Linked DNA regions of Medicago truncatula. The protein of the gene in region 2 interacts with the protein of the main gene of each other region in a pairwise test. Links are inferred from orthologs where the notes say so. Each region holds a gene or a part of one and is shown on either strand. Other genes may lie near its edges. The genes, in order: FHA domain-containing protein DDL and uric acid degradation bifunctional protein TTL.

What was found.
Region 1: the proteins of uric acid degradation bifunctional protein TTL (region 2) and FHA domain-containing protein DDL interact in binary tests that used the Arabidopsis thaliana proteins (3 or more experiments, as listed by UniProt). The link is inferred for Medicago truncatula from reciprocal best matches to the Arabidopsis thaliana genes TTL and DDL.

The regions. Positions count from the first base shown.
Region 1 is NC_053044.1:22,668,470-22,680,643, forward strand, and holds the start of FHA domain-containing protein DDL, read right to left. Parts: upstream 5,736-12,174; 5' UTR 5,653-5,735; coding exon 5,245-5,652; coding exon of another isoform or gene 5,238-5,244; intron 3,335-5,237; coding exon 3,306-3,334; intron 1,356-3,305; coding exon 1,289-1,355; intron 410-1,288; coding exon 352-409; intron 253-351; coding exon 160-252; intron 1-159. UniProt on the Arabidopsis thaliana protein: Involved in the microRNA (miRNA) and short interfering RNA (siRNA) biogenesis. May facilitate DCL1 to access or recognize primary miRNAs. Binds RNA non-specifically.
Region 2 is NC_053049.1:2,636,780-2,648,782, reverse strand, and holds the start of uric acid degradation bifunctional protein TTL, read left to right. Parts: upstream 1-7,602; 5' UTR 7,603-7,641; coding exon 7,642-7,994; intron 7,995-9,013; coding exon 9,014-9,071; intron 9,072-9,481; coding exon 9,482-9,583; intron 9,584-9,652; coding exon 9,653-9,815; intron 9,816-11,665; coding exon 11,666-12,003. Other genes in the region: NADH dehydrogenase [ubiquinone] iron-sulfur protein 8, mitochondrial, read left to right, coding at 2,791-2,858, 2,935-3,046, 3,724-3,819. UniProt on the Arabidopsis thaliana protein: Involved in the last two steps of the degradation of uric acid, i.e. the hydrolysis of 5-hydroxyisourate (HIU) to 2-oxo-4-hydroxy-4-carboxy-5-ureidoimidazoline (OHCU) and its stereoselective decarboxylation to (S)-allantoin, a major ureide compound.

The DNA.
Region 1 (12,174 bases), on a different chromosome or scaffold from region 2:
GGTAACAAAGACTACATCTAAATATCACATTGGTCAGGAGTCAGTTACACAAAATTCTGCTGTACAACACAGGGAAATGTGGCCAGGACAAGGGGATTGTGATTATAATATAAAAAGACATGAATATGTAAAGTTGAAGTAGAAGCCATAAAGATTTACCATTCAACATTTCACCAGTCTTGAAAACATAGAGCCTCCATTTAACATCAGGTTTTCGAGCCTCTGGTGGTTCATTGAACAACAAAGTGATACCTGAAAAATATAAACCGTTTAGGAAACAATTGAATGAAACGTTAACTCACTTAACCGATCAAAATAGATAGTTCTACATGTTAACAAATAGTCTCTCACCTCTGACTCGATTAGTTTCTTCTGCAAGTTTTCCTGATAACTCAAACGAAGGTTTTACCTGCAAATGATAGAGTATTTCAGAAAAGCAAACAGGAATAGGCCACTTAAAATCTACACCCTCTTTTTCTTTTCTTGCTAAGCAACCTATGTCCTATATCCTCCTCCTTAATACAAAAATTAAAATAATACTTAGCTTTTAATTTTTTAAATCATATTACGTTTTTCTATTTTTGATTGAATTGCAGTGCAACTATAGTTAATATGACCAAATAAGCATGGGGCACACATATTATTATGTATTCAATCAACATAACCATAAATGTTGTTTCAGTGTTTTCTACTTCAATAAAACTTTTGAAATATTAGTCTCCTCGTTTGTATTTTGTTTCCTTTTAAAAAACTGTCTTTCATTTTTCCTTTTTGAATGGTGAAGTGAAGTCTCACCAACAAATTTGACAGTGTATACTAGTATCTAGAGACTAGATGTCTCACTCTAGCTTCCTTAAAGCAAGAGAACACCAGATTCAAAATTATGGTAACCGACGAGGAAAGAAAAAGCTGAAGCAAGTAGTACAAAGCATCCATGTTTGAGTGCTTAGAAGAATAATATCTATATCATACATTGGTAACCTTGGTTAGATGTCTTTCTTCCATAAGCATCTAAATGAGCAACAAAAAGGGACATCTGAATATGTTCACGTAAAAATATCTAACTCGCCAAATTATCAGTAGAAGCCTCCAAAGATTATGGTAAGATTGATGTTGAACAATATGTAGCTTAGGAATATCGGAGTAAACATGTTATACTTAGCAAAATACATGCACAGGTTAAATTATCTGACAGTGAGCTTGACCCCTGCCCCACAAGCATATACATATGTGGAGGACACTATTAATTACTGGCACTGAGATCCTATGAAAAAAGGAACATCATTACCTTTTGTTTTTCTTGCAGAGCCTCTTCAGCAGCCTTCATCTTCATTAAGGAATCATCTTCTTCATTCCTGCCAAAGCAGCGACCAAATTGTCATCAGAAACTATATCGGCTAAGTATAATCTATATGAGAACTACAACAGAGTTTTAAATTTTAAGAAAATTTAGAGAAAATAGCAGGGGATATAAGAAATGATCTGGATCAAAGTGGCAAGTTAATGTCTTTTCAGTTTTATTACCATTTCTTTAACAATTTCAACTTTATTCAAGTAAGTGCTTGATCTCTTAAGATTCCACAACAAAGGTCTGATCATAAAATTTCTCTTAAACAAATGAGACTTCATCTCTTTTCATTTGCAAACAGAAACTGTAGGTAACCCTCTATATTCAGTTTCAATAGAAATTAATAATTTAATATTTAGCTTTGCATGTTATTCCAAGTACACATATTCGTTGGGAGATATGCACCAAATAAAGGAGCTGTGTAGCATGTTCAAGCTCAAGGCGAACTATGATCTTACTATCACAATTATTTCTGATGTTTTCATACAAAAGCTCAACTGATATGATCACACCAAGGCCAAGTTACATAAAATACATGAGGTAGCACTATTTACATACTACTGATCAACTAAACATGAAGAATGAAAAGACTCAAAGGATGTCCAACAAATGACCAGGTACAGGAAAAGAAGCTCAAAGATAAATATTCTATCAAACATTAATAATAGTATGAATTGTACATAAGAACCACCTTAATCACAAACTTCTGCATTTTCTAGCTCTTTTAGTCACATTCATGTATAGCATATTCCAATCAATCATTTCAAAATCATATCTCTGATATTATTTCAATTCGTGACACAACTTGCTCAACTACTAATTCTATTCTCTTTGATTAGTTTAACTCACTCTTTATAATAGTAAGATTTCATTTCTATCTCCATATTACACGTCTACAAATTACAACCTATGGTCGAGTAGCATATGGTCTTCAATTGATGCTACCCAATTCTTCAGGCATATGTCATTATTAAATAAACTTAAACATTTTAGTAGGATGTTCTTTCTAGGCGCGGTGTCTCTCAGCATCCCAGCATTCTGATCCATGCACCATAATTGGATGATCACCACATTCATTGACACTCACCACACACCCTTCATTTCCACCCTAACCATTTAGCATTCAGGATGCACGGTTTCATCCTATTATATTTGTTTCATAGAAAACCATATTAAGAGATACTGATAAAAATTTATTAAGCAAATTATACAACGTAAATGCTATCATCTCATGTTATATACCCTATACCCAGCCAAAATTCATCAAACTTTCTTCAAACATTTTCTTCGATGCACACCAGACTTTCTTGTTGTAAATTTAAGCATTTACCTATAGATTTTCTTCTCTTAAGCCAAATGCTACCAACAGCCAACAAAATTAAGTCCTGTCCTACTAGGTAGAGTCATCTACACGGATTGATTAATGTGACTAGGCTCCATTGCAAAAACAAGTTTACGATAAAAATGCATTTTCTTAATCCATAATTCAACTAGTTAAAATCATATGCGACACATAATATTAGTAAATTTATTCCATTCAAATCACCAGAGCAATGAATCCAAGTCAGGCTCTTAAGTCTTCAACTGTACTTCTACACATGTCAACACATCTTAAGTCTAATCATTGCATACATGTCAGTGAAATATAGCTCCTGTTAATTTAATCCAACTGTCACTGCAATTGGGTTTAGTGAACCATCTTAAAAAGTACGCACATTGTTTTAAATTTAGATTCATCTTCAATGATTTCATTAGGCCATAAATTAGCTACCAATTCTACTGTTTTCTCATATGCAATTGCCGACACAAAAACGCTGAGAGACAAACGTTACTACAAAATATAGCACTCTTATTCTTATTAAAGAACTAAAACCAAAACTGACAATTAAACAGTATGGACAACGTCAAACAGGAGCAAAACATGAATATGCAATTCAAAGTAGAAATACAGGCTTACATCATTTCAGCTTCTCTTGAGTTTTTCCCCTGCAAAAATTAAAAGCAACCTAGATAAGCATCAATCCAGAGAATATGAAAGCTTAACATGCACAGAAGCAAAAAGCAGAAGGAAAGAGACCAAGATATGGAGAAAATAAGGGGAAATGGATATTAACTGCAAAAAGAATTAAGAATAAAGTAACAAATTTTTAAGAACCACATGTCTAAGGACAAACTGTTTGACGATGTGCAAACCACCTAAAGGAAAGACTCTATGTTCTTTACACATGCGCAAATTTAGGGCTTCTCTAAATCTCAGTCAACTGCCTTGTTCAGGCGTGTCTGCAACTAACGTGACCTCACCACATGTAAATGTCACTCTTCAAAAGCAAAGTGACTTCTAATAGGTTGTCCATGCACAAGATAACAAGATCAAATCTCTCACAGTTTACATAGTTAAATGTTTAGTTTGTCTCCTTACGCGGATGCATAGTGCCACGTTTTCCTCAAACTGGTCCGCGATATACCAGCTCAAAAGCTATCGCGACGATCACTACTCGCTTTTGCAGCGCAACGTCGCGTGTGTGTTAACATAGATTTGACCACTACCTCAATCAATTAATCGTGAAACTAGGGCTATGAAGCACAGATACGGACACGGACACGCCGACACCACTAATAATTTCAAAAAATCACATAATTCGGTGTAATTATATATGTCGGTGTCGGATACGACACGTGTCCGGCACCGGGACACACCTAATCTGAGGAGTGTCCGTGTTTCATAGAACTAGGGTAAAAACTATCATTGAAATAGCCAACAATCAGCTATTGTTTACTCCACTTCTGTAGAAACATAAAACATTGAGGAGTGCTAGCAACACTCTCTTGAACACCCTCTCTAATACTCACTCTCTTATTGGTTTAAATCATTGTGGGTCTACACTTTGAAAATAGAACCCACACAAAATGGTGGGACATACATTGATTTCATCCAATAAATGAGTGAGTGTTGAAAAATGAGTGTTGCTAGCATTCCTCTAAAACATTTATAGCCACCATCAGATATTTAATTGCATCAACAGCCTCCTAAAGTCTACCAATCACAAATTATTTGCAATACAACAGTAACAAATACAAGGACTGATAAATTTCTATAATCAAGGGATCACCCATAAGGCCATAACGAATGCTTCATCAACAATAGTTTCTTTTTTTTTTTTCTTCACAAAATTAACTTTTGTGAACCAAAAAAAAAAACAAATCACATGTCAACTAACATTCATGTATATAATAAACTTTTGTGTACATGAAACCAACATTCAATACCCATTCAGAGTTGAGATATACTATAAATCACACACTCATGGAGCCAGCTCAAAACATAAATAATGCATATATAAATCTGATAATCCACCATAATCTACACTACTAACTTAAGTGCAAAGTCCAGCTGCAACGATTAAACAAGACTACTACTAGAAATCTGATAATCCATAATTGTATGCATTAATTAGCCTAGCCCAAAATCAAACTATTTCCTTCTACAATGAAGAATGGCAAGCATTTCATCACAAACACTAAACACGTCCTATTCTCAGATGAAGTATGACAATCATGTCATCTCCTTATATCCCTCGCATTTGAGTAAAATATTAACACTTTCAGAATGCTGTTGAATTAACAACATCCTAAAAGTCTACCAATCACAAACTATTTGTATGTCAAATAATATTGGTATCAATCAACCTCTAAGCTTTAAATTTCTTTAATTCTTTCCAAAACTCTATTCAATCAACCTCTAATAACACCAAAAATTCAACCTTCAATTCCATCAACAGCATAAAAACAAATGCATGAAATTCTCCATTTTTAACCAAAAAAAAAAAAAAAAACAGCGTAACAATACAGAAAGAATGAAACAATAATTTGAAATAGGGTTGGATATCACCAGACACCTCATCACGAGGCATTGAGTGACGCTGCGGCGACTGAGACCTATGTCTGCCCCTTCCGTTGTGACGGTGCTCCGGCGACCTATCATGCTTCGACCTAGATGATCTGCCGTTCCTTCCACTATCATCATCATTATCCACTCTCCTCCTCTCCTTCCGGTCAAATTCTTCCCTCTCCGAATCCCTCCCTCTGCTGTTACTGTCACGGTTCCTCTCATGCTCGCGTTTGGGTTCTCGTTCGGATTGAATTTTCTTCAACCGTTTGGTTCGTGGAGAAGGAGAACGAGAGCGATGAGAAGAAGGAGGAGGAGAATCAGGTGAACGAGTTGAAGGTTTTTGCTTGTCTCGCGGCGGAGGTGAGATGCTGCGGTGGCTCCGGTGACGGCGAGTGGATGGAGAATGACGGCCCATGGTTGTTAAAGTGGTCTGCAATCGAGCTAACTGTCCGTTTGGATGGGTTTGAGAATCAAGTGAGTTTTCTCAAAACTACAACAAATTGGGAGCAAAATGGAAGAGGGAATCATCAACTTCGTCCCTGAATTTTTACGGGTCGGTCAACTTCGTCCCTCAATTATGCGAAATATCAATTTAATCTCGAATTTGTTAAATGTCAATCAAGTTAGTCATTGTTCAAAACGGAGCGTTAACGGGGCTGACGTGACCGTTAACCTCTCACATGTCAGGCGCCACGTAGGCAGGACTAATTTAGCTAAAAAAACATTTCGAATGACTAAATTGATTGATTTGCAGAAATAATTTTAGTTTCTTCTAAAACGGCTCTTTTCTTCCCAATGGCTCTGTCTTCCCCAATTGTATAAAATTGAAACCCTAATTACACAATCTGCAATCTATATTCTAAAATCACCTAAATTTCCTCTAATAATAAGTGGTCCAGTTCTTCCCCAATTCAAAAAACTTGAAACCCGAATTTTTTTGTATTGAATCTGAAAGTCAAAATCTACAAAATTTCTTGAAGCAAAACTATTGAAATTGAATTTGAAATGAACGGGGTGAGAATAAGGGAAAAAATTGTTATGAAAGTCGAGCTTCATCTTCAAGCTCCAAGTTTAACGGTGATGAAAAGAGGTTGAAGATAATTCAAAAATGTAACATTTCATTTCTGTAATAATATTTCCATCATATTAGTCCTTGAATTATTTCACTATCTATCAAATAGATCCTTACGTTATATTAAAACCCATCAAATAAGTTCCTGAATTGTTTAATCATATATCAAATTGATCCTTGAAGCATATGGGTACAAAATTAAGTAAAAAAGCCAGAACACACAAATTCAAACTGAAATATTACATAGGCAAAAGTCATAGGTCATAAGTCATAAGTTTGAGAAATTACATAGGCAAAAGCAACCTAACTATGAGGCATTAACAAGTCATAAGTCTTAAACGACAAGTTAAGCAAAAAGAAACCCAACTACGAGGCATAATTCAAATAAGCCTAAATATTACAAATCCAAAACATCTATTAAACTTCAGGAAGCATCACTTCTTTGAAAATTCGGGAGTTGGTATAAACTCCATGAATTTAGATAATCAATCATATCAGTCCTTCAATTAATATACTAATTGCCAAAACGATCCTTAAAAATTAAGAGTCATACATGTCCAACATTTGCAACAACATTTCCTGCAATTTCTGCATCTCCAGGGTGAATACGAACATAGAATCTTGATAAACAATTTGAAAGGTGTTACCTTTAATCACAGCCGAACACAGAAACTTCAAAAACGTCAAAATCGCCGGTGATGATGATGATTTTGGAGGGGTGAGAATGGAGAAAGTTTTAGCGGAAATGTGAAAGGTCAAGGATGTTTTTGATGCTTCTGACTGAAATGTGAAGAATGAGGTATGGGTAATGCAGGGGCAAAATGGGAAAAGCAGGAAAAAAAATAAAGTGAAAATTGGACTTTTTCCAATTCAATCAAATTAGTCCTTGAACACGTGGTTTCCTTCTTGCCACGTGTACAAGACAACACGGCATGCAGGGCGACATGTCACCATGGCTAACGGAGCACTTGGACGGAGGGACCTTTTTATTGGACGTCTGACATATTCAGGGACTAAGTTGATATTTCGCATAATTGAGGGATGAATTTGGCTGACCCGTTAAAATTCAAGGACGAATTTGATGGTTCACTCCAAAATCGAATCAAATAATTTGTTTTTTTATGACATGTAAATTTACATAATTACCCATGTTGCATGTGATGGAGAAATAGAATGGAAGAAAAATAGTGAGATGGGAAAGGAGAAAGGTTAGAAGAGCAAGATTAGAGAGAGGTGAGAAGGAGACGGAAATGGTAGAACTGTAATGAAGCTTTTGGATAGTTTGTTTTACGGCTTTCCTCCATTTTGGCCAGTTTGTTTTTAAAAAAAAAAGTTTTTTTTTTTAAATTTACTCAAATATAGTTAAACTCATTTGATATAAATTTAAAAAAAAAAAAAAATTGACTTTCGTTAACTTAAATATTTATTGTTTGAATTTTTTTCTAAGTAGTTTAGTGATTAGAATTCATTTTTTAAGATGATAAGTGGATGTTTAAGGTTCGAACCTCGATAGAATAACACCTTACCCCTATCAATTGAATTATATTCACGTGAGTCATTGTTTGAGATTTTATATAGCAAAAATCACATTTTTTTAAATGAAATCTTTCAAAAATGATCTTTATGAAAAACTATTTGAGATAGTTTTTTCTTAAGAGATTTTTTCAAAATTTTAGTATCAAAAAATAATTATAAAACAAATGATGAAATACTTAGAATAACATTTTAAGATAAGTTTTTCAAACAAATTTTTCTTTTGAAGCTTTCCTTAAAAATTTATTTGTTAGAAAAATTATAACAAAAACATATTACAATACAAAAATCTATTTTTAAAAAAACTATAACAAACATACCTTACTCTTTTTCAATGCGAAACAAATCAAATGGTTGGGATTAAATGGTCAAAATAAGGATTTATCTTTGGGTAAACATTCATTTTTTTTTGTCTTTGGATATGCACACCGTTGTCATGATGGTCTTTGACTATAGAGAAAACAAAAAAATCTCACTCCAAAATTTGTTAGTCACTTTTGTCTCTGACATTAAATTTGGTTGTTAATTCCACAAAGAAGTTAAATTGACATTATTTAAGAGACATGCAAGCTATGAGGTGGAAGTAGAGGCCGAAATGAAATAACATTCTTCATCTCTTCCAACAATATCATTCATCTCATCTTCCTCAATCTTCCTAAATGTAAGTTGTGAACTGCACATTTTAATAAAATCTTTTTTATTTTTATTCTTTATTCTTTAGTAGAGCACTAGTTTGGGTTTGCCTTCTTAAAAGGTCTTACTTGAGATTTTCCTGTTTGTTGTATTCATTTTCATTAATTTGTATGCAACAAACACTAAATAGAGGTGTTTCAAGATATGAATTAGTGCATTTTAATGGAAATGAAGTATGTCATGCACGGGAAGCCTTTATTTACATGTATGAGAATAAGTAAAAGATGAAAAAGGGATAACCAATTAGGTTTCCAATAATTGAATTATTTCTCAATGTCAACTCAGTATAATGAAAAGGCATATATATATTTGTTACAATGTAACAATTGCCATTAATTAGTAGTAACGTAAAAAGCAAAATAACAGCAAACGTATGCATAATTTTAGGCATAATATGTGCATTTATTTACTAGCTCAATATCCTCCCTCAAGCTGAAGCATTATAGATGTCTATCATGCCAAGCTTGGATATAAATGAGTTGAATTTTGGAGGGGCCAAAGCCTTTGTGAGAAAATCTGCTAACTGCTCTTGTGATGAAATTGGTAAAAGTCTAAGAGTACCATCTTGAACCTTTTCCCTTACTAGATGACAATCTATTTCAAGGTGCTTTGTTCTCTCATGAAACACAGGATTGGAAGCAATATGAAGAGCGCTTTGGCTATCACAATATAGCACAGGCTGTCGTGTGGAGATAACATGCAAATCTTTGAACAAGTGAAGCAACCATTGTAATTCACATGTTGCTGTAGAAAGAGCTCTGTACTCAGCTTCAGAAGAAGACCTCGATACAGTTTGTTGTTTCTTAGCACGCCAAGATATCAAGGAAGAACCAATAAAAAAACAATATCCTGAAATTGATTTTCTGGAATCAATACAACCAGCCCAGTCAGAATCTGAATACCCCAAAATTTGTACCTCAGAATTTCTAGGAAATAAAAGGCCTTTTCCAGGATTATGCTTCAAATATCTCACAACTCTACAAGCAGCATTATAATGTGTCATGGTTGGAGCATGAAGAAATTGACTTAGTTGTTGAGTTGCAAATGTGATATCTGGTCGAGTAGTATTCAAATATAACAACCTACCAATTAATCTCCTATATGCGGCAATATCATCATAAGGCTTACCATCATCTTGATGTAATTTAATGGAAGGATCAAGAGGACTACCGGCTGGTTTGGATCCCAATAAACCTGAATCATTCAATAAATCCAAACAATATTTCCTTTGTGAAATAGTGATCCCAATTTTGGAATGAGCCACTTCGAGGCCTAGGAAATATTTAAGAATTCCTAGATCCTTTATCTTGAAATTACAATCAAGAATATGTTTGATCCTTTTAAATTCATCGAGAGAAGTTCCTGCTAAGATCACATCATCAACATAAATCAACAAGGCAGTAAATTCATGACCATTTTTCAATGTGAAAAGTGAGTAATCAGATGTAGATTGTTGATATCCTTCCTTCACTAACAAAGATGTCAATTTTTCATACCATTTCCTGCTTGCTTGTTTAAGACCGTAGAGACTTTTAAGAAGTTTACAAACTTGATTAGGTTTGGTACATGAAACACCTTCTGGAATAGTCATGTAAACTTCTTCTTGTAATTCTCCATGCAAAAACGCATTATTTACATCTAATTGATGTAAATGCCAAGAATGAATTGAAGCAAGAGCAAGTAATGTTCTAACTGTAGTGAGTTTTGCAACAGGTGAAAAGGTATCAAAAAAATCAAGACCTTCAATCTGATTATACCCTTTCGCAACCAATCGTGCTTTATACCTTTCAATAGAGCCATCTGCCCTATGTTTAACTTTGTATACCCACTTACTACCAATAGGCTTCACATGAGGTGGCAAATCTACTAGAATCCAAGTGCCATTTTTATCCAATGCATCTAATTCAGATTTCATAGCTATTTGCCAACAATCATACTGACTTGCTTCTTTAAAGGATTTTGGCTCTGTGCAGTGTGTGATAGAAGAAGAAAAAACTTGACGTGAAGGTGATAATTGTGAAAAAGAATGATAAGAGGTGATAGGGTAAGGAGTACCTGAAGACTTTGATTTTGTTGAACCATCTGAAGCATTGCACACATAATCTGCAAGATAAGATGGTGGATGCCTTTGCCTAATAGGTTGATGAGGTGATGGTTGTGGATTTTGATTTGGTATTCTTGGGACAGGGGTGAAAGATTCAGGTTCCGGTATGGTTGAATTTGTAAGGTTATGTTCTAGTGTAGATGATAATGGAACAGAATCCGGTGGTTTTGTGTTATGTGATATAGTGTCATTAGGGGGATGAATAATTGGAATATCATCACCGAGTGTTCTACCATGAGAATGATATTTCCAATTGGAAGGTTTTGAAATTGGATTATATGGCAAAATATGTTCAAGGTGTGTGGTATTTCTAGAAACAAATATTTCCTTATTGTTTAGATCAAAAAGTATAGATCCTTTCATGCCACTTTTAAAACCTAGGAACACACATTTTCTACCTCTGGGATCCAATTTAGTTCTATGTGAATGTAAAGTAGATGCATAAGCTAAAGAGCCAAACACTTTTAAAATTTTCAAATCAGGTAGCTTATCATGCATCAAAAAATATGGTGATTTATTATCAAGAAGAGGACTAGAGACACGGTTTATGATAAAAACAGCATGTGACACAGCATAACACCAAAATTGTTTTGGTAAATTTGAATGAAACAACAAATCCCTGGCTACATTTAGTATATGTTGATGTTTTCTTTCTACTCTTCCATTTTGTTGTGGAGATTCTACACAACTCTTTTGATGAATAATTCCTTTGGAAGAATAGAAAGAAGAAATCAAAAATTCTGGGCCATTATCAGTTCTTATGGTTTTAACAAGGGTGTTATGTTGTGTTTCAATTAGCTGGACAAAATTCATGACATGTTGACTAACTTCAGCCTTAGATCTCATAAGAGTAACCCAAGTATATCTACTGAAGTTATCAACAGCAGTAAGAAAATAAGAAAAACCATGAACAGATTTAATAGCAAGAGGACCCCATATATCAAAGTGAATTAGATCAAAAGGTTTCATGGCTTTATTAAAACTCCTTTGATATGGTAATTTTTTATGTTTTGCCAAATGGCATACATCACAAACTCCTTTTTGATCTATAACAATAAAAGGAAAATCAGAATGTAGCAAAGTCATTCTAGAACTAGAGAGGTGGCCTAGTCTAAAATGCCATAATGCATTTTCTGGTATGATGACAGCAGAGTTGCAAGGGGCAGCAGATACATTCCGAATCTTATCTGGTAGAACCACGTGATACAATCCTTCAATGAGTTCAGCAGAACCAATCGTCTTCAATGACTGAGGATCCTGAACAAGACATTGTGAATTAGTGAAACTAACAAGACAAGGTAAATCAGAACAGAGTTTGGCAACTGAAACTAGATTCAAAGAAAAATTAGGAACATAAAGAACATTTGTTAAGAAAAAACTTTGAGAAAAATAAATTGTGCCAATTTGTTTTGCTACAGCAAAATTACCATTAGGTAATCTAATAAAAATAGGACTAATATCATGAAAAGAATGAAACCAATGGGATGAACCACAAATATGATCACTAGCTCCTGAATCAATGATCCAAGAACCAA
Region 2 (12,003 bases):
CATAACAAAAGTGTGTATACCACTCACACTCACTCACGTTTTACCAACCCTTAGGTCACAATTAATTTAATGAAACATCTCATACCACTCACTCACGGTACAGCTTGAATTGTATATATACATATATAGCTGGTAAATGAGAGGGTGAGTGTTGAATAATTGAGGTTACATGCCATAACAAAAGTGTGTATACCAATGTTTTAAGGATATTTAAATGATATTTTATGTGTTATGCTGAACATGAACTAATTGTCACTTTAATCCTTGTATAGAGTTGCAGGTTGAAATGAATAAATCTTAATCTTAAGTATATAATAAAACAGTAGACTAGTGTGTTTTCACATTAGTTCTTTAAATCTTTGTCATTAACATAGTTTTTCAAACATTGAAGTGCTCCATGTTAGTGGTGTAGCTTTTGGTCTGCGGTTCCTGCAGTACTGCTGGTTGCTATAGCAGGTGCAGCTGCTGTGCTGCATACCGGCGGCTCATGGTGTTATTTAGGAGTTTTTGGCTGCCTTTTAGTGCTTGTAATTTCTGCTGTGTTTTTGTTTTTGTTTCTTTTTAGACAAAAAAATGTGTTTTTGTCTAGAAGTTTACATCCAATGGGCATAAAAAATCCAGGTGTTTTTAAGGAAGTAAATTTCTGAAATGAATGTGGGTTACAAAAAACAAACCATCAATTTTTTCCTTTTAAATCAATCTCTTGAAGATACACAAACTCTAGTATAGTTCTTTAGATTTGTGAAATGATAATTTAGTCACTTAAATTAACTTATATGATCGAATTTATTCCTTTTCAAATTTAGCATTATAGTATGTTCATTTTGATGTATGAAGAAGGGAGTAAAGACGATACGTGACTTTCATAGGTTTTGATCAATATTTATTTTCCAAGGTTATATTTTTTTTTTACATAATTTTTATTTTTTTTAAAATTAAATTGTCATGTACTTTTAGGTCATTTTATATTTATAACAGCTAGTTTTACCAAACACATTATTTTTAATAAGCGAGCTTTTCAGCTATCAGCTAGCTTATAGCTGCTTTTTACCAAACAGAGCCTTAATGCAAGTGAATGCCAATTTTATATTGAAACTCTATTTAGCAGCATTTTCATGTTGCTATATTGTTTTGTATATAGTAAATGTATGTAGATGTTAACAAATGTAGCTTATATTTCCTTCAAAAAAAAAAAAATGTAGCTTGTATTATGTTAATGTAGAAACAAACATACAGGTGTTTTTAAAATACAATCTGTCCTGAAATATTGAAATCTAGTTAATGCAAGTGAATACCAATTTTATATTCAAACTCTCTATTTAGATTGCTTCATTGTTTTGTATATAGTGAATGTATGTAGATGTTAACAAATGTAGCTTGTATTATGTTAATGTAGAAACAAGCATACAGGTGTTTTGAAAATACAAGATAAATCTTTAGTAGATTTATGAAACTGTGACATATCTTTAGTTGACCCAGATGTTGGAAAATGTGCTTGCAATCCCTAAAAATTAGAAACTGTCTAATTTATATATCCCTAATAAGGTTGTAAAACTCTCAATTTTGGAGGTTGTAATTGGTATACTTTCCTGTACAACTATAATAGCAGTTTGTTTTAATATGAACTTTGATTCTTTATAACTGGAACTGCCGCAGCATTATACCTCTAGTGTAGCCACGTAGGAAAAACAATCGGATCTAGTAAAGAGTAGGGTTAAACAAAGCTATTAGGTATGCGTCTTTGTATAACTATCCAGTCTCAAAATATAGGTTGTGCGCCCAGGTATCTGTCCTGAAATATCGAAATCTAGTTGATACAAGTGATAGCCTATTTATATTCAAACTCACAATATACCAGCATTTTCCTGTTGCTTCAATGTTTTGTATATACTGATTGTATGTAGATGTTAACATATGTAGCTTGTAGTTGATTAATGTAGATTCAAATGTACATGTGTTTTTAAAGTACAAGATATAAAGCTTTGGTAGGTTTATGAATCTGTGACATATCTTTAGTTGAACCAGACGCAGGAAATTGTGCTTGCAATCCTTAAGAATTAAAAACTTGTCTAATTTAGATATCCCAAATAAGGTTGTCAAACTCTCTCATCTTTGAAGGTTGTAATTGGTGTATTTGTATACAACTATAATGAGTTGGTTTTGATATGGACTTTGAAATCTTTTCTTTATAACTGGTACTACTGATCTTTTCTTTAAAATTATAACTGGTACTACTGCAACACTATCCATTTGGTGTAGCCACATAGGACAAACAAGCAGATAGTAAAGAGTAGTGATAAACAAAGGTATTAGGTGTGTGTCTCTAGATAACAATTCAGTCTCAAAACATAGGCTGTGGTGTAGCCGCACAGGACAAACAAGCTGAACTTGTAAAGAAGAGTAAGGATGAACATAGATATTAGGCATGTGTCACTGGATAACAATTCTGTCTCAAAATATAGGCTGTGAGCTCATGTATCTTTCCTGAAATATTGAAATGTAGTTGCTGTGAGCTCATGTATCTTTCCTGAAATATTGAAATGTAGTTAATACAGGTGATGCCAATTTTATATCCGAACTCTCAATTTACCAGAAATTAAACCATTAATAAATACCCTTACCAATAACTATGACAAATGACCAAATATATTATACATATCCATTATTCCAATATTTCCTTTCCATGTTTTATTTTCACTTCTCCATAATTGTGTTATTTCTCACCCTCCTTGCAGTAGAACCACCTGCGGTATCATTATTGATTAGTCCAAATAATTTTTTCGTGTTCAGATATGTCCTGCTCAAGCAATAACAATCGAGGCTGAGGAGCGTGAAGATGGCAGCCGTAGGACAACTCGGTCAGTTACCTACCTTTTGTGTCTTCCCTTCTTCCCTGCATTACTCAATTCTGCTCTAATTTGTCAAATCTTGCAGGTATGATATTGACATGACCAAGTGCATCTATTGTGGATTTTGTCAAGAGGCATGCCCAGTTGATGCCATTGTTGAAGGGCCAAACTTTGAATTTTCTACAGAGACTCATGAGGTTCCTTTTCATTTCCATTATATTGAACTCTATTAGTGTCTTTAATGCTATAGCCATAATTGTTTATATCTTTTTTTGGTAATTGATTTTAAGTAACTAGGACTTTCTACCCGCGCTATCGCGCGGGTCTATTGTAAATCATTGATCAATGTGCAATTATTCTAATCAACTCAATCAATTTGAGAAATATATCATTATAGATCTATAATGTACCATTAAAATGTTGGTATGAATATTTATATAAGAAGGTTAGAAAGTTTATAAATAAACTAAAGTGCATTATGAAAAATCTCTTTATAAAAGGGGAGAAGGAAGGAGAGGTGGTGGCGGCGCTACCGCTGTTAACAGGGACAGTGGTGGTAGGGGTAGAACAGGGGTTATGAGAAAAGAAAGAAATAAAAAGTTATGTTTTGAGAGATATGATCATGTGGAGCAAGATATCTTATTGGTTTATTTTGCTGATGTTGCTTGCAAACCCTCTAAACCTGATTGGCTACTTGTATGGAGTATCACATGGCCTTGCATTTTGGCTCCAAAGAAGGGGCAATTTCAGTAAATAAACCAAAGTAGTTCTAGGGTTTTGCTAGGGTTTGCTGGCAAAATTTCCTTACATTTGTATATAAGATTGTTTCTTTGATTCTTTGTTTATTACTGATTATATGTTTTAAACGTTATAGGAGCTTTTATACGACAAAGAGAAGCTGCTTGAAAATGGTGATAGATGGGAAACTGAAATTGCAGAGAACCTGAGATCTGAAAGCCTTTATCGCTGATAATCTCGTTGGAACCCTGCTTATTCTGTCTTATTATGCACTGATAAATAAAATGATCAGTGAATGATCTTGAAAATTTGTATGGATTGTTCCTCACTTTTTATTTTTTGGTGGGCCATTGTTGTAATTCTCGCATGTATGCAATTGTGATTTCTTTTTTGCTCTTGAAATCTTTGAACAAATGAGTAAATAATTGTAAGAATTCAACAAATAAATGTCGTTACCTTGTAGCAAACTTGTGGCCTTGAACTATATAGCTTGTATAATGGAAATACACTCGCTTTGATGGTGACCCTGATACATGCCTTTATAATTTCTAGTAATCTTGTATGATATCAGAAAGCTTTTTAATTTATGTCGTGTCAAAGCCTTTCAATTTATTTGCCACACATTTGCTTGTATATAAAACACTTGAGGGTGTTATGAATTATTATCATTACTTAATGAAAAATAACGGCAAAGGTGAAATCCTAGGAAAGGTATCATGTTCATGAACACCGAAAAGAAAAGCAAAGGAACGGTTGGTGGTGCTTGAATTTGGTTAAGATTATGTGGGTGGTTGTTACGGTGGATGGGAATGAAAATGGTTCCGTATAATGGCAGGAAATATTTTTATGGATGATGAACATGCCTTCTAAGATTCATGAGAAGTTTGAAAATTCCTATGGAATTATAGCAGTAGCAACGAAGTTGTGGAACACAAGGATGATGGTGGTTTTCATTTTTTATTTATTTATTAAAAATGCTTTTAAAATAAGTAGAATGTTAACGAGTGCCCAAAGGTATTGGTTAAGTATCTAAAACAAGCAAGTTTTCATGGAAAAAAAAATTGTGCAATCATTATTTAATTAAAACTAACATTTTATATTTCCAAGACAAAATTTTTATTTGTAGAATCCTTAACCAATATCCTGAGAATACTGATTAGCAAGACCCTTAAAATAATAATAAAGTTAATGACCTATATCAAATTTATTGGTTATTTTTAAAGAGGATGTGATATGCATGACCCTATGCAAGAATTTCTCCGCGTAGACAAGCAAACAACTCACACCGACGACTTCAGGTCTTTCAAGTTTCAAGTCCTAATTGAGGTTAAAACGTCATTATTATTTTTAGAGTAGTGATATTTGTAGAACCATTTGCGACAACTATTGTGACAACTTTCTCTTTGTTTCTTCTTATTGGTCAAAAACAATAGAGAGAGAGAGAGAGAGAGAGAGAGAGAAAAGGAAGAGATGATAAAAACATAATGTGAGTATGAGAGAGAATTGTCAAAAAGTTATCATAAAACGGTTGTACAAATATCATTTCTCTTATTTTTATGACTTTTTTACTATTGGTCGAGGATAATAGTCTATGCGTCCTATTTTAATCGACCTACTTCGAAAATGTGCACTATTTACATAACATGTTTTGACCATATTTTTCTATTAACATACAAAGACAAATGGTTTTCATAAAAAAAACAAGTATTTATTGCGAAAAATTAAATTTCAATCTTTTGTAAATTAAATTGAAACAATTTTTAATATATACTACCTGTCCCAAAATATAAGAACATTTTGACAAAATTCCGGGAGTAAAGAAAATTGATATTTGTATTAAAGATCTTTGTAATCACTATTGTTTTTACAATATTATTATTTAAGAGATAATTATTTTATGTTTTCAACATGTTATTTATTTTTGATTGAAGAAAAAAACATAATAAATATGGGTATGTAGCTCAAGAAATGATTAATTTAGTTGAAAATAACAATAAGGTCTTATTAGGAAAAGAAGGATCGTGGAAATAAATTGACGCCTCTACTTTTCTAAAGTTATAAAGAAAGGTCACCGAAAGGTCACCCAATTAGGGTTTTTTCCAACTTGTGCAAGATTCCACAGCTTAAGCTCCAATAAATGCACTATTTGTTTTGTTTTTCTAAATCCTACTCCATCTGTCTCACAATAATTGTCTTTTTACCCATATTTCTTTTTCTCGAAATAATTGTCACTTTAGAATACTAATACAACATTTATTACTTTTTTCCAATATAATACCCTTATTTATTGAACTTAATCCAACTTAACTACTCATCCTCCACTAACTACAAATAATAAGGATGTTTTAATAAATGATACTAATTTTACCATCAAAATCAACACAATTAATTATTTCCTTAATAACCGTGCATCAACCTCAAACAACTACTATTTAGAGACGGGGGGAGTATTAATTAGCCTTTTTCTTGAAAATTGGTTTTTTTTCATCTCTCTTCTATTAACTGCTATAATTTCGGTGCACTAAGAAATACAGAGAAAGTCAACATTCAAATTCCACAGACACACTAAACTGAACATTTTATTCTTCTGTCACGCCACTTTCTTCTTCAACTTTGAAAAAGTCTGATAAGATATGGCAAAACGAAAGGAACCAAACCATTTGAAATCGTATGATTGTATATGAATTCTGCTCTTCCCCCCAGCACAAAACACTCGCGCCCAACATGATTTCCAAATATACCCATGCGTGAGTTTAGTCACAAACCACTGAACCTCTGCACGAGTTAACGCACGCAAGTTGGCCAGTGGTCAAAACTGAAGAACAAACGTTTTTTGGACGGTGGTCAATGCTTTTTATTGGTTTTTACACTTTTTTTTTTTTTTTTTTTTTTAAGTTTTTCTCACGTTTTTGCATCCCATTAAGTGCTATGCTACCTTAAACCACCTATAAATACCCTCACAAACTTCCTCTTTCCTCATATTATCTCCTCCCACTCGCTCCCCCTCTTTCTCTTCTTCGTTTTTGCTTCTATAGTCTCTAGGCTCTTTACACCCCTTTAGGTAAATAGCAGTAGTTTTTGGGGGAAGTAGTGGTCCGTCGGGTTGGGAAAAGGGCATCATTCCTTGAGGGAAAATTAGGTTTGCTTCCTTTTACTTCCAAAATATTTTTACCGTGGGTAAATAGAATCATCATGGGGGTATAAAAAGGAACCAAACTTAAATTTACCTCAAGGGATCTTGATGTCTTTTTCTCCAACAGGACATATCACAAGTTAGAAAAATCCTTAATAATTAAAAAGTAGCGCATTTATTGGATCACAAGTTTAAAAAACCCAATTATTAAAATAACTACTTTTATGACATTTGGTTTTTTGTGTGTTTATTAATCGCTCCGTTTCAAAATACATATCCAATTTTTGCAATGTGCACTATTTACTTGACTTACTTTGACCATACTTTTTAACTAATGTATAAATATAAATATTAGCATGTAAGATGTTGTTTGATTTGTCTCGAAAAATATTTTCAAAATATTAAATTTTTATAATTTTTTACTTTAGATAATTAAATATATTAACGGTTAAAATTGTGCATTGACATGTGTGAAATGGCTGATTTGGACATGTATTTTGAAACGGAGGAAGTATTAAATGAAGGAAATCTTAATAATTTAAAGTTTTGGTTAGAAAGTAAAAAAAATCAACAAAAAATTATTTTAACAATGAAGGTCACTTGAACAATTTTTTTTTTTTTAAACAAATGTCATTTTATTTTTAAATATATATTTTCTCAATTAAGATTTTTTTTACAAACTCAAACAAGATCTATAAATAATTTTAATTTTTTTTTTTTTTTTAGAGAAAACTAATAAGTGCCCCTATATTAGTTAATGGCGCTCGAACCACTATATAAAAAAAAACACATTTTGAAAGACATTGGATAAAATATTATTTAAAGAATTTTCTTAGGAAAATTTTAAAAAAAATATAGGAAAAAAAAATGATCCAACCCTTTATTCATTTGTCTCAACTATATAGTAAGTAGTGGTGGTGAATGGTGAAAGCTGACGCAAACATATCGACGAAAACATACATAGATAGATCCTCATCCAAATTCCAAAACCCCAATTTTGCAATTGAAGAGAATCGATTATTAGTGTGTGTGAAGAAAATGGAAGTGGGTGTAGGTTTTGATGAGAACGATTACTTGTCATGTTGTGGAAGCACCAAATTCGCCAAGGAAATGGCTGCTGCCTCTCCTTTCCCTTCCTACCACCGTGCTCTCACCGTTGCTAAACACATTTGGTTCAACATAGTTGATGTCAATGGTTGGCTTCAAGCTTTCTCTGCCCATCCTTCCATTGGTCAACCTCGTCCTCCTTCTCATGCTTCTGCAACAAGTGCTGAGTTCAGTTTTCATTCTCTAACTCAAACTCTCCTTTTTCATCTGGGTCTCTTTCTTTTTTGCTTATTAATGTGAAAAATTGTTACTTTAGTGTGAAGGTCGTGTTTTTCTTATGTGGGTCTCTCTCATTTATGTTTATTGATGTGAAAAATTGTGACTTTAATGCTAAGGTTGTGTTTTTCTTATCTGGGTCTCTTTCCTTTTTGTATATTGATATGAAAAATTGTGTCTTTCGTGTAAAGGTTGTGTTTTTCTCATGTTGGTGTTTGTCATTTTGGATATTCGTTTGGGATTGTATGACAAATTATGACTTTAGTGTAAATGTTGTGTTTTTCGCATGTGGGTATTTGTTAATTTGTGTCTTCTTTTGGAATTTTAGGGTAGTGATAGTAATTGAAGTGAAAATTTTGAATGTGGATTATTGTTGTTTGTGGCTTCTTCACTTTTGTGGTGTTTGATAGTGTCTCATTTGGAATTTCTTTTATAGTGTTGCTAATGGAATTTGTATGTTTAGTCATTCTTCTAAGTGTATGTTTGATATCAAAAATGATTCTAGAGACATAATTGATTTTGACATGTTTGATTCAATTGGAATTGGTTTTGCATCTAGAGTTGAGTGTATGTTAGCTTGGGCGTACCCAACTAATTAAACGTACATTTACTTTGAAGCTCTTGTTAGTAGCTTTGTTACATTCCTGCGATTAGAGCATCCTATATGCGGTTCAAGACATACAACGGTTTTAATTTGAAGTTAAGATTTGTAGCTTTTGGCTCCAAATGTGATTTTTACTTTCGAATTTATGGTTCAACTCACTTTTACGTGAATGTATCCAAATATAAATCACTTTATATTCAACTTACTTTTAACTAATATCAAGTTTAGGAAATCAACTTTTGTCACTGCAGAACCAAACATGCACGGACTCTATTATTGTTTTTAGCCATATGGGTTACTTTCTTCTCTTTGCATTAATAGAAAAACTTGGCATCATTAACATGTAGAAGAAACTCATTTTGGCAGGTGGAGTATAGGAGAACAATCAACTGCTTTAGCAACTTCTACTGCTTCTAGTTTACAGGTTTGCTTGCTTTCAGCTGCTATTGAAAATGCTACCAATAATCTAGTGCTGTTTCGTGTACTAAAGAACGTATGAAAACTGATTGTTCTCTTGCTCTGCTATCAGCATACTTAAGACTATTTGTGTATGAGTACTGATTTTAAAAAAACACCTTCTTTCAGAGAGTTATAGTTTCTTACAAAGTATCTTATGGTTTCAACTTTTGCATCCTTTATTGGCTTGACCTGCATCATGGTTCGTTATTGATTTTATTATTACGGTGGAAAAGTCATTTGTTCATCAGCAAAATTGGATTTGGGACCGGGAAACAAACATTCAGTTTTTGTAGGTTTAATATAACCGGTATGTTAATAGTTCATATATTATGATGATAATTAGTATTCTAATTGTGGTCTGTTTGACTTTTGTAGGAACTAGCTGAATGGAATGCTCGGTATATGCAAAAGTTTGGGTTTGTATTTCTTGTATGTGCATCTGGGAGAAGTACTGAATCGCTACTTGCTGAACTAAAGGTAAAATATGAATTTAAGGTCTAGTGTTGAGTGTTATATTAAATTTAAATTCATTTGTTCACTGTGCAGAGACGCTATGCAAACAAACCGATTGTTGAATTTGAGATTGCAGCTCAGGAGCAAATGAAAATTACAGAACTTCGCCTTGGAAAGCTCTTTACAAGTAAAAAAAACATATCTTCTACAACTGATACTAATTCCATTGCTGTTGCTCAAAGTCAAAGGGCAGAAGGTACTTCCATATACTTTATTGTGTTTTATGTTTGGTTATTTTATAAGCATATTTCCAAATTTGGATTTGATTCCAATTGATAGCTTCATGTTCTAATTGTTTCAATGACTGCGACAACCCGTGCACTATTGAATTCGGTTAAGGAAATGATTCCATCCACTCATAATATACCATGATGACTTTATATATTAATTATTAAACCTATGATATATCATTTTCCGTTTATAATCAACCATCACTGAGTCACAACTTTTTGTCTAGAAGTAGCAGGATCATAGTTTGGAGTTTTATGTCCATTTATTCTGTATATTAAAAGTTGTGAGTTCTAAGATAGTCAAGTCTAAGATTCAAGTAATTTAATGTTAACAAACACGTCAGAAAGAATTGTATGATCTTCACATGCCACTATCTGTATAAATAAAATAGATTATAGAAAAGGCAAACTGAGTAAATCCAATTGCATGATGTTTAATTAAATCAACTAGAACATGAGAATATCCATTTGTAAATGTATCAACTAATGATGTTGTAAATTTAGCATTTCTATTTCTTACATAATATTTATCTTGAAAAAGCATAAGGTGTTTGGTTTGGTTGATATAGTTAAAGTTACTGGCATCATTTTGAGATTTTACCATTTTGAGTAGTCAGGCTTTTTCTTTTTTCTTTGGTTACATTTACTTTTATTTGATATTCTATTATTTGGAACTACTTTTCCTTGTGATCGTGTCTTTTTTCCCCATAACTTGCTAATTGTGCATATATGAGAAAACATAACTATGGTATATGAAATTTTCTGTCTGATGATAACATTTGTATGTAAAACAATTCATGAATCTTCACCAAATAACTTAAGCATTTGGATTCCTTATTTAAAATTGTATTAGAGCCTCTGCATGTTGTCATGTCTTGGATCTTGCTTGAGTAGTCATGTTGGATAAAAATCCATTCCGAAGGCTTTACCGAAGAACTTATCTTCTGACAAAACTGGTAACTGACGAGAATAAAGACGCACGTTAACTTGTGGGATAACAGATAGTACTTTTGATAAACTTAATTAAAGTTGCCACAATGTTATTTCTGAAATTCAGGTTTCTAGAAACTCTGAAGTGAGCATTGTGTTCTTCTCAGGGAGAGGTTCAAACGAACTTCTAAACACATGCTAAACTTGTTAAAGGAAGGTAGAATAGAAACCAAAGTAAATAGATCTTTTAAGTTTTAAGAAAACATTTTGATCTCTTAAATTTGGATCATTTGGACCTCCATAAAATGTAAGCATTGGTTTATGTTATTCCAATGCAGCACTTCTGATTTCTGAAGCCTTCCGTGGATCTGCATTCTGCAATGGTGGCATTGTATATACTTATTGCTTACTATCCCAAGATTGTGATATTTGTCCTATTTCTGACTGATTATAGAAGTACATATTATTGAAAACCCTTCAACTTTTTGGCTGGACACAAATGCTAGGTCTAGGATGATCAACGAAGTAACTTAGAATGATTTCGTACTTTTCATTTTATCATCTACCTCTTTTCTTAAGAAAATCTCTTTCATGTATGTCCCAGGACTCAAATATAAGCAAAAATAATTAAATGCACATTGATTAACGATAGTAGTTAACTCCAATTAATTTTCTTGATTCAAAGGGTATTTCAGGAATTAGAATAATTAAGATGTTAAGATTGGTTAGAATTTGCTTATATTTTGTACCATTCGACATGTCTATCTTTTGTTTGTATTTAAGTTTGAATGTGCAGCTCATGAACTCCTACTTTTGCATCATTATTGTTTTTGGTGATATCATGATAATTTCTTAATACTTGTTTTATTAATTTTTCGAATGCTAGAAGTTCGTGTAAGCATTATTGGTGGTCATGTGACTGCTGCTGCTTCAAACACTTTAACAGGAAAATCAATCCAAAATACATCTAGAACCCGCCCAGCTATTACCACTCACGTGTTGGATGTTTCGCGGGGATATCCAGCTCCTGGAATTGAGGTACTTTTGGAGGTGTGGAGGGGAAGTCAAGCTGGACCGACATTTGGGATTACAGATGGTGGCGGTTGGGTGGTTCTAGGGTCTTCGACAACTGACTCCGACGGTCGTAGCGGTCAACTGATGGACATAGTTGATGATGTGGATCCAGGGATATACAGGTTAACCTTCAACACTGGGAAGTACAAT